2 linked regions of the Sus scrofa genome follow. The protein of the gene in region 2 interacts with the protein of the main gene of each other region in a biochemical or structural test. Links are inferred from orthologs where the notes say so. Each region holds a gene or a part of one and is shown on either strand. Other genes may lie near its edges.

What was found. The genes of interacting proteins can lie anywhere in the genome.
Region 1: the proteins of LRRK1 (region 2) and NUDT16L1 form a complex in vitro, tested with the Homo sapiens proteins (2 studies listed by BioGRID and IntAct, with this or other methods). The link is inferred for Sus scrofa from reciprocal best matches to the Homo sapiens genes LRRK1 and NUDT16L1.

Annotation. Positions count from the first base shown.
Region 1 is NC_010445.4:37,691,844-37,695,954, reverse strand, and holds the start of NUDT16L1 (protein syndesmos), read left to right. Parts: upstream 1-1,301; 5' UTR 1,302-3,478; coding exon 3,479-3,676; intron 3,677-3,751; coding exon 3,752-4,012; exon of another isoform or gene 4,013-4,082; intron 4,083-4,111. UniProt on the Homo sapiens protein: Key regulator of TP53BP1 required to stabilize TP53BP1 and regulate its recruitment to chromatin.
Region 2 is NC_010443.5:139,616,108-139,619,629, reverse strand, and holds part of LRRK1 (leucine-rich repeat serine/threonine-protein kinase 1), read right to left. Parts: intron 2,482-3,522; coding exon 2,365-2,481; intron 1,743-2,364; coding exon of another isoform or gene 1,737-1,742; exon of another isoform or gene 1,450-1,736; intron 1-1,449.

The DNA of each region.
Region 1 (4,111 bases), on a different chromosome or scaffold from region 2:
AGCTGTGTGACCCTTGACCGAAGAGCACAGTTGACTGTCCCCTCTGACGACCCTTTTTCTACAGTCCATGTATTTGTAAATGGTACAAGATGAAGGACAGTGGCTTTCTGTCCCGGGCGCTGAGCTCTGGGTCCTTCCCAATGCCCCGGGGCCGGGCACCCGTGTGCAGCCTCACCCAGCCCCCGAGCCGTGGCGGCCGATGCCCGGGAACTGAGGGACACGCTGGAGAAGAGGAGTTCCTGGGCGGTGAGGTGCTGCCTTCACGGGGACGCGCGGGGCCCCTGGAAGGAGAGGAGGTGGGGTCTGAGTCTCAGGCCGGGAAGGAGACTGCCCCTGCCCTCCCCCTGCACAGCTTGGCGAGGCTCGGCCAGGTTTGGGTCTGGGCATGGGCGGTGTGGTGCCTGAGAGCCCTTCCCAGCGGCAGCTTTGCCCACGGCACCAGACCCTCTGGGCCGGGGCTCTGCTCGGCGAGCGGCACGCCATCACCTGCTCTGGAAGGCGCTGGTGGCTTCTCTGCTCCCTCTGCCGTAGATGGCACTGAGAATTTGCTTTGATTTGTTCCCGTCTGGGGCTCCTGTGGCGGGATGTCCCTGGGGACGAGGGCCCCATGTGAGGTGACCTCGCCTTCTCTTAAAGACAAACTTGCGGGCAACAGAAAGGCAGACAGCGTGCTTGGCCCTGGTGCCTCTGGATGAGAGCTGCCCCAGTGGGACCTTAGCCTGGCGGCGGCGGGTCTGCACTCCCCGTGCCAGCGCTTTCCTAGCAGGTGGGAAGGATGGTGCTGGGCAGCCGACCACACAGCCTGAGGCTCTGATGAGTGGGGTGCTCGGAATGGGCGCCTCCTTCTCTCTCCAGTTGAGCCTATGAACAGAGGCCACACTGCAGGCGCCCTGCCTCCCGTCCTGCCCGCCGTGTGCTCGTGGGTGCACAGATGCCACACACGCACATGACCGTCTCCCTCTCCTCACCCCTCTCCTCTCACTGGCCAACACCCCCCGCCTCTCACCATTGGTTTTGGGGCCAGTAACTGAAGGGCGGGGTGCAGACTGGCCTGTCTTGGACTTAACACGTGCTACCATTTGATGTACTCTGATTGGCTAGTTTTTGTTCGTTTTTACTGTATATTTATAGTAATAAAATCATGCAGCAATATCCTATTCGCTTTTCCCTCCATGCACAGCTCCACAGGACTGGGTTGTTTCTCGGGAGGCAGGACAGCTGAGTGGCAGCTCTGACACACTCAGAGCAGCGCAAGTGCCTGCTTGTGGCTGCAGCCACTGTTCCCTCATGTGTGATGTGACATAGGACTTCCGGGAGGGCGTGAGTGCTGCTGCTTGTTATTCTTGGGGTCGGCATTATGCTGATTGTCGGGTTGGAGCAAAGGGGAGGGACCCTTGGGACTTGGCTCTGTTTCCTGAGCAGGTGGAAGAGCCCAGGCCTCCAGCTATGCAATTGCTTTGGCCGTAGCCGTCGCTAGTTCCTCTTGCCGCCGTGAACTGAGTGCCTGCTGTGCCAGCAGAAAGCAGAAGGCGCCAGGCCCCTGGGAGCCTGCGTTCTAGTCAGTGAGATGCTACGCAAGTGATTCAGGTCTAACCACATGTGATTACAGTTAGGAAGGGGGTCGGTGGCTAACGAGGTGGTGCTGATTTAGCCTGTGTTTGGGGAGGGCTTCTGTGATACGTTTCAGCTGAGCCCTAAAGGATGCCAAGGAGCTGGGCCTGGAAGAGCACCCCAGGCAGCTGGCTCAGCAAGTGCAAAGGCAGGAGTGGGTCTACTGTGTCCACGGAGTGGCTGAAGTGTCAGAGCTGGGGTGTGGGGTGCAGACACTTTGTGGGGGCCCAGTTTTGCCCTAGGAGCAATTGGAGGCTGCTAAGCAAGGGAGCGACTTTCTCCAGCTGTCCTCGGGGGAAATGGATTGGAGGGCAGGTTTGGCTGCCAGGACGCTGGAGCCCAGCTGGGGCCCTCTGCTCAGCCTGAGCTCCCCTGACCAGCAAGCAGCCTCTGCATGGGGAGAGGCTGGTGCCCCAGCACGCCCACTGCAGCACTGCCCGAACCACGGCCAGCCAGCAGTGCCCTCTGACTCAGGCACTCAAGGGTGGAGCCAGCCTTCCTAGCTGGCCTGGCCCTGCCCCAGGGAAGGCCTGCCAACCTCGGGGGTCCCCGGTCTGCCACGGTCTCGGTGTGGAAAAGGCCTTTCAGTCACACAGGTTTTTGCATTGGCTGCACTGGGTCTCCCACCACGGGCCCACCTCCTTTATTAATGCCTGAGGCGAGCCTTCAAACACCTTTATTTATTAATGCCTGGGTCCTTCCCTTCAAACACCTTTAGTCTCCCTAGAGTCTGGCCTCCCACTGCCAGCTGCGGCTGCCTCCCTGCTGCGGCAGCCCCAACCCTGGCAGAGGACCACGCGGGGGGAAAATGGAGCTTGGGCTACCTGATGGAGTGAGTAGCACCACAGAACCCGGGGGAGCCTGCTGCTCTGCCGCAGCTGCTGTTTCTGATGCTCCGGAGCCGTAGTGCCTGCCTTCTCCGGTACAGACGCTGGTAAGTGACTCAGGCCCTCGTCCCCAGAAGCTGCACGGTTTTCTGCGCGGACACTGGGTAGGAGAGGTGGAATTCGAGGGTAGGATCCTGGCTCTCACAAACTGCTGGGTGCCCTCAGGCAAGTCCCGTTCATCTGAGCCCCAGGTTCCTAAAGGGGGGAGTACCTGGCCTATATGGCCCCTGACACGGGTATTTGGGCGCTGCGCTGGGAAGCTCCCTGCCCGGAATCTAAATCACTTCTGCCCCAGCAGGCTGGATTCAGGAAGTCCCCGAGTTCCTCACCGCCCACCCCCAGTTCAGGGCTGGGCTGGACTCGGGGGGTAGCTGGACTCTGCCAGGCTGTGTTTAACCGGCAGCAGAACCATGGGCTGGCATTGTGCCTCCTGGCCGCAAGGCTCGGCTGAGCCCCCTGGGGCAGGCAGGGGGCGCCCGCACGCCCAGGGACAGGCGCCAACCCGGCCTGGAGCTGACGGTGGGAAGCCGGCGCGGCTGTGCTCCCGAAGAGGCGCGGGGGAAGGCGGAGGGCAGTATAATTGCTAGGGCTTTCCCTGCCCTCTTCTAGACGCGCAGTTTGAGTCCAGACTCCACAGGCTGCACCGCCTGCAGGTAGCGCCCCAACCCCGCAGGCGCCGCGCGTCTGGGAACCCGAATCCGAATCTGCGCTCGGCTCGTGCGGGCTCGGTTGTCGCGTTGCATCTTGGGCCTTGTGGTTTTCTAGGATCGTGGGCGGTGCCGGTTCGGGGTGCGCGGCTGTTGGGTGACAGCTGGGCGCGAACCGCCTTCCCCTTTGCGCACGCCCCTCCCGCTTCGCAACGACGCCTCTGAGCGTCGCGATGGGCTCGGCCCCGGCGCGGGTCAGCGATTGGCGGAGGAGCGGGGCCCAGGGGCGCGGCTTCCCGCGGATTGGTTGGGTGCGGCGGGGCGGGCCCGCGCATGCACTTAAGGGGCGGTGTCTGGGCGGCGGTGGGTAGTGCCAAGATGTCGACCGTGGCAGTCCCGGAGCTGAAGCAGATCAGCCGGGTGGAGGCGATGCGTCTTGGGCCGGGCTGGAGCCATTCGTGCCACGCCATGCTGTACGCTGCAAACCCCGGGCAGCTCTTCGGCCGCATCCCTATGCGCTTCTCGGTGCTGGTGAGGACGCGGGCAGGCGGGCGGGGACCGGGCGCCACTCGGACTCGCGCCCGTGACCCTGACGCTCCCTTGCAGATGCAGATGCGTTTCGACGGGCTGCTGGGCTTTCCCGGGGGCTTCGTGGACCGGCGCTTCTGGTCATTGGAGGACGGACTGAACCGGGTGCTGGGCCTGGGCCTGGGCTGCCTGCGCCTCACGGAGGCAGACTACTTAAGCTCACACCTGACCGAGGGCCCGCACCGCGTCGTGGCGCACCTGTACGCGCGGCAGCTGACGCTGGAGCAGCTGCACGCCGTGGAGATCAGCGCGGTGCACTCGCGCGACCACGGCCTGGAGGTGGGGCCGCCGCCCGGGCCCCGCCCCCCGCCCCGGGGTTTGGCTCTGGCCCCGCGGAAGGCACCGATGGGTAACACGTCCCCCTGAGGGTCCCCAGGC
Region 2 (3,522 bases):
ATCCTCCCTGCCCTGAGCCAGAGTGAGAAGAAGGCCCTTGGCCCCTGAGGGAGGGGGCATGTGGCCTAGACCACAAGGCCAGACTTTGGTCAGCCTGGGCTTCTTGTAATGTCAGTTGCAGGGGGCAGGGGGTGGGGGACTGCCTTTTCGGTCACCAGGGCCTCCTTCAGAGGCAGGATGTGCGTCCTTCCCTCCCGTGAACTCTGTTCCTTAAGGTGACAGCAATTGTGGGTGCCCCATGGATCTGCTCTTAGTCTCCTGTTTGCTGTCCCCAGAAGGTGGGTGCCCCATGAGAGCAGGCCAAGGTCTGGTACCCACCACTGCCCCAATGCTGGTCTGCTATAGGGAAGGGCAAGGCCCCCTCCACCTCTGACTCTCCCTAGTTTTCTGCTCAAGTATTCATTCTTAAAGAAATTGCTTCCAACTCAGCTTTTCCGCGGAGGCGCGTCTTGGCCACTGTGCCACATTCCCCGTTTACATCTCTGAAATGCCTGTGGTTCAGCTGACACTGATGGGGGTCCTCGGGATGCCCTCACAACCCCATGAAGCATGTGCTCTTTTACGGCCACCAGAGGTCCCCACGCAGAGGCCAACATTGCAAAGACTGTGCTGAATGCTGGGCCCAGCCCAGGCATCCCTGGAGCATCTGTGTGGAGCTGGGGATGGAGAGCAGCCCAGACGCCTGGGTGGGGCTGGGGTGGGATGGGAAGAGTTTAGGAGAACAAAGCCAGAGTTGGGACCGAGCGGGGCCCCAGGCCCTGGGCCAGCGAGGGTGAGGACAGAAAGCCCCCTTGTTGGAGCTGGGAAGCTGGGCTGTCCCAGGTGATGAGTGAACCAGCCTCTAGCTCAACAGCAAGGTCAATGAGGCCTAAGAACGTTTATCCAAATCCATCTTCAGGTTTCGAGGAAAGAAAACAGCCAAAGCAAACAGGAGCAAGGCCTCTATCTGAGTCCCTGCTCTGGGCCCCAGCCAGGCAGTGAGCCCCACGTCCCGGCTGGGTGTGGACGTGCGCGTGCAAGAATGCAGGGGTCTGCTGTCCGAAGCCACGGGGCAGCACAGCCTCTGAGGGGCAGGCACCCTGGCAGGGAGGCTCCGCACAGAGCCAGCTTTATTCCCTCTGGTCTTGCGGGCGGGTGGCGGTGCCCTGGCTCGGGGCTCTGGGCAGCCCTGAGCTTAAATAACGCTTTGTGTCATGTCCTGCGCTCTGGTGCAGACGGGGTCCTGAGCTGCCCAGCCTCGCCCATGGGGCCACAGTCATAAATGGCTCAAGGTTGATTTCAAACTTTTTTTTAAAGAAATGAAACTGTAGAGGGGTGGAGAGGAGAGCACGTGTATTTCATGACCGTAAGGAAAGAGTAATAATGCTCATGTTCAACCAGTGCACCAGCCCAGAGCTTTGGGTACGTTATGCCCAGAGATCCTCCTCACAATCTTTTACGCCCATTTTGCAGGTGGGAAAACTGGCATTGGATGATGACACCCAGAGCTTTGGGTACGTTATGCCCAGAGATCCTCCTCACAATCTTTTACGCCCATTTTGCAGGTGGGAAAACTGGCATTGGATGATGACAGCCAACGTGTTTTAACAAAGCCACACCAACAAGGAGCTCTCGAGTGGAGAGTGTGCCTGCTGTAAAAACGGCACCTCAGGGCCCACAGAGGGGGTCCAGAGGCCTGGGGGGTTGGGGCGGAGCGTGGGGCAGCTTCTCAGAGTCCGGGTCACGGCCCTTGTTCTTCAGACCTGAATAGGAAGAGGTATGAGCCACTAGGTCAGTCCTAAAGGGAAAGGCCTGCTCAGAGTGCGGTGCTGGGAGGAGAGGAGTGAGAGGGGGTTGTGGAGGGGGGAGACCTGGCCGGCTCTGCAGGCTGGGTCTGAAAGCTGAGGATATGCATCTTCAGGGCCATATTGGACAAAGAGGGATGGAGGTCTGGGACTGATGGAGACTGGTCTGGGGAGGCAGAACCAGAGTGGGAGGGGAGCTAGGGGCCTGCCAGGGCCTGGTGACTCAGTGGCTGTGAGAAGTGCTGAGCTAGGCCCCTGCTCTCAGAAGGGGAAGGGCACACAAGCAACTGTCCCCTGACACCATCTGCACCAGAAAAGCATCTCACCATGAACTGGGGCTGTGGTTTCGTGTGCTGAAGGTAGGCTTTCCACCTAGCCCTTTGTTTTACTGGTCCTTAGGCTCTCAGAAACCCCAAAGGCACTGATGGTCCAGGTGTCCTGTCTCTGTGAGACTGACAGTGACCCAGGCTTGCTGCTCCAGGTGGGCATGGCCTTGCTGCCCTCCTCACCAACCCAAGGGAAGGGAAACTCAGATGCAGTGCCCCCACTTCCCCATGACCTCACCTCCCCGTGACCTCACCTTTTTTATAACAGGCACTGCCAGGAAGCAGGTGACGATGGCTGGGGTGTCCAAAGCCTGCTGGGGCATGTTCAACGGGCACATGCCCTTGAGGCTGTAGATGTAGATCTTCTGGTCCTATGGAGGCAGACAGCCAACATGAGCCGGACTGGACCTGGCCTGCCGTTTCCTAGGGGGCAAGTTCTGTCTTGGGAGTTCCTTTATGTCTTCGGAAGTAATGCTTATGGAGGCTTTCTGGTTGGCTGCTCTTTGTAGAAACTTTGAAGACTACCAAGTAATCTAGAGGAGATGCAATTGCCCATGATCCAACACCCCAAGAAAGCCACCTTTGGGACTTGGGCCCAGACTTTGAGTTTTCTGTGGATATTGGTGGGGGTCTGGTTCCCCACGACAGCAGAACGACGTTATCGTGCTGTCTGCACAGGTTTCTCCTCCTGGGACACTCCCTGCAGGCAGAAGCCCTGTCCTACCTGGTCTGGGAAGGAGTGATGTCTGTGCTCCTCTTTCTTCTTTTTTAGGGCCCCACCCGCAGCATATGGAGGTTCCCAGGCTAGGGGTCAAATCGGACCTACAGCTGCCGGCCTACACCAGAGCCACAGCAATGCCAGATCTGAGCCACATCTGCAACCTACACCACAGCTCACAGCAACGCCGGATCCTTAACCCACTGAGCAAGGCCGGGGATAGAACCTGCTCTTCTTCACTGTCTGTTGCTCGGGGCTACCAGACTTTGGTTCACCTTTTGCAGATGTTTATTCTGTTCAAGTTGTTCACGATATGAATTTTACTGGAATGAGCTTTTTTTTTTTTCTTTTTTTCCTTTTCTTTTTTGGCTGTGCCTGTGGCATACGGAAGTTCCTGAGCCAGGGATAGAATCCACACCACAGCTGTGACCCAAGCCACAACGGTGACAATGCCAGATACTTAACCCACTGTGCTACCAGGGAACTCCTGGAATGAGCATCCTCAAGCATCTGTCTGTCTGAGTCTGTATGTACGTGTGCGTGTCTTGTTTTTTTCCTTAGAACAGATTCTTAAAACTGAAATTCCTGAGGCTTACATAGTATGAATATTTTTAAGATTTCAGATGCATATTTGAACCAAACTTCCCATCTGCTATCTGGAAAGGGCTCCGCTAATTTATACCCCCCCCCCCAA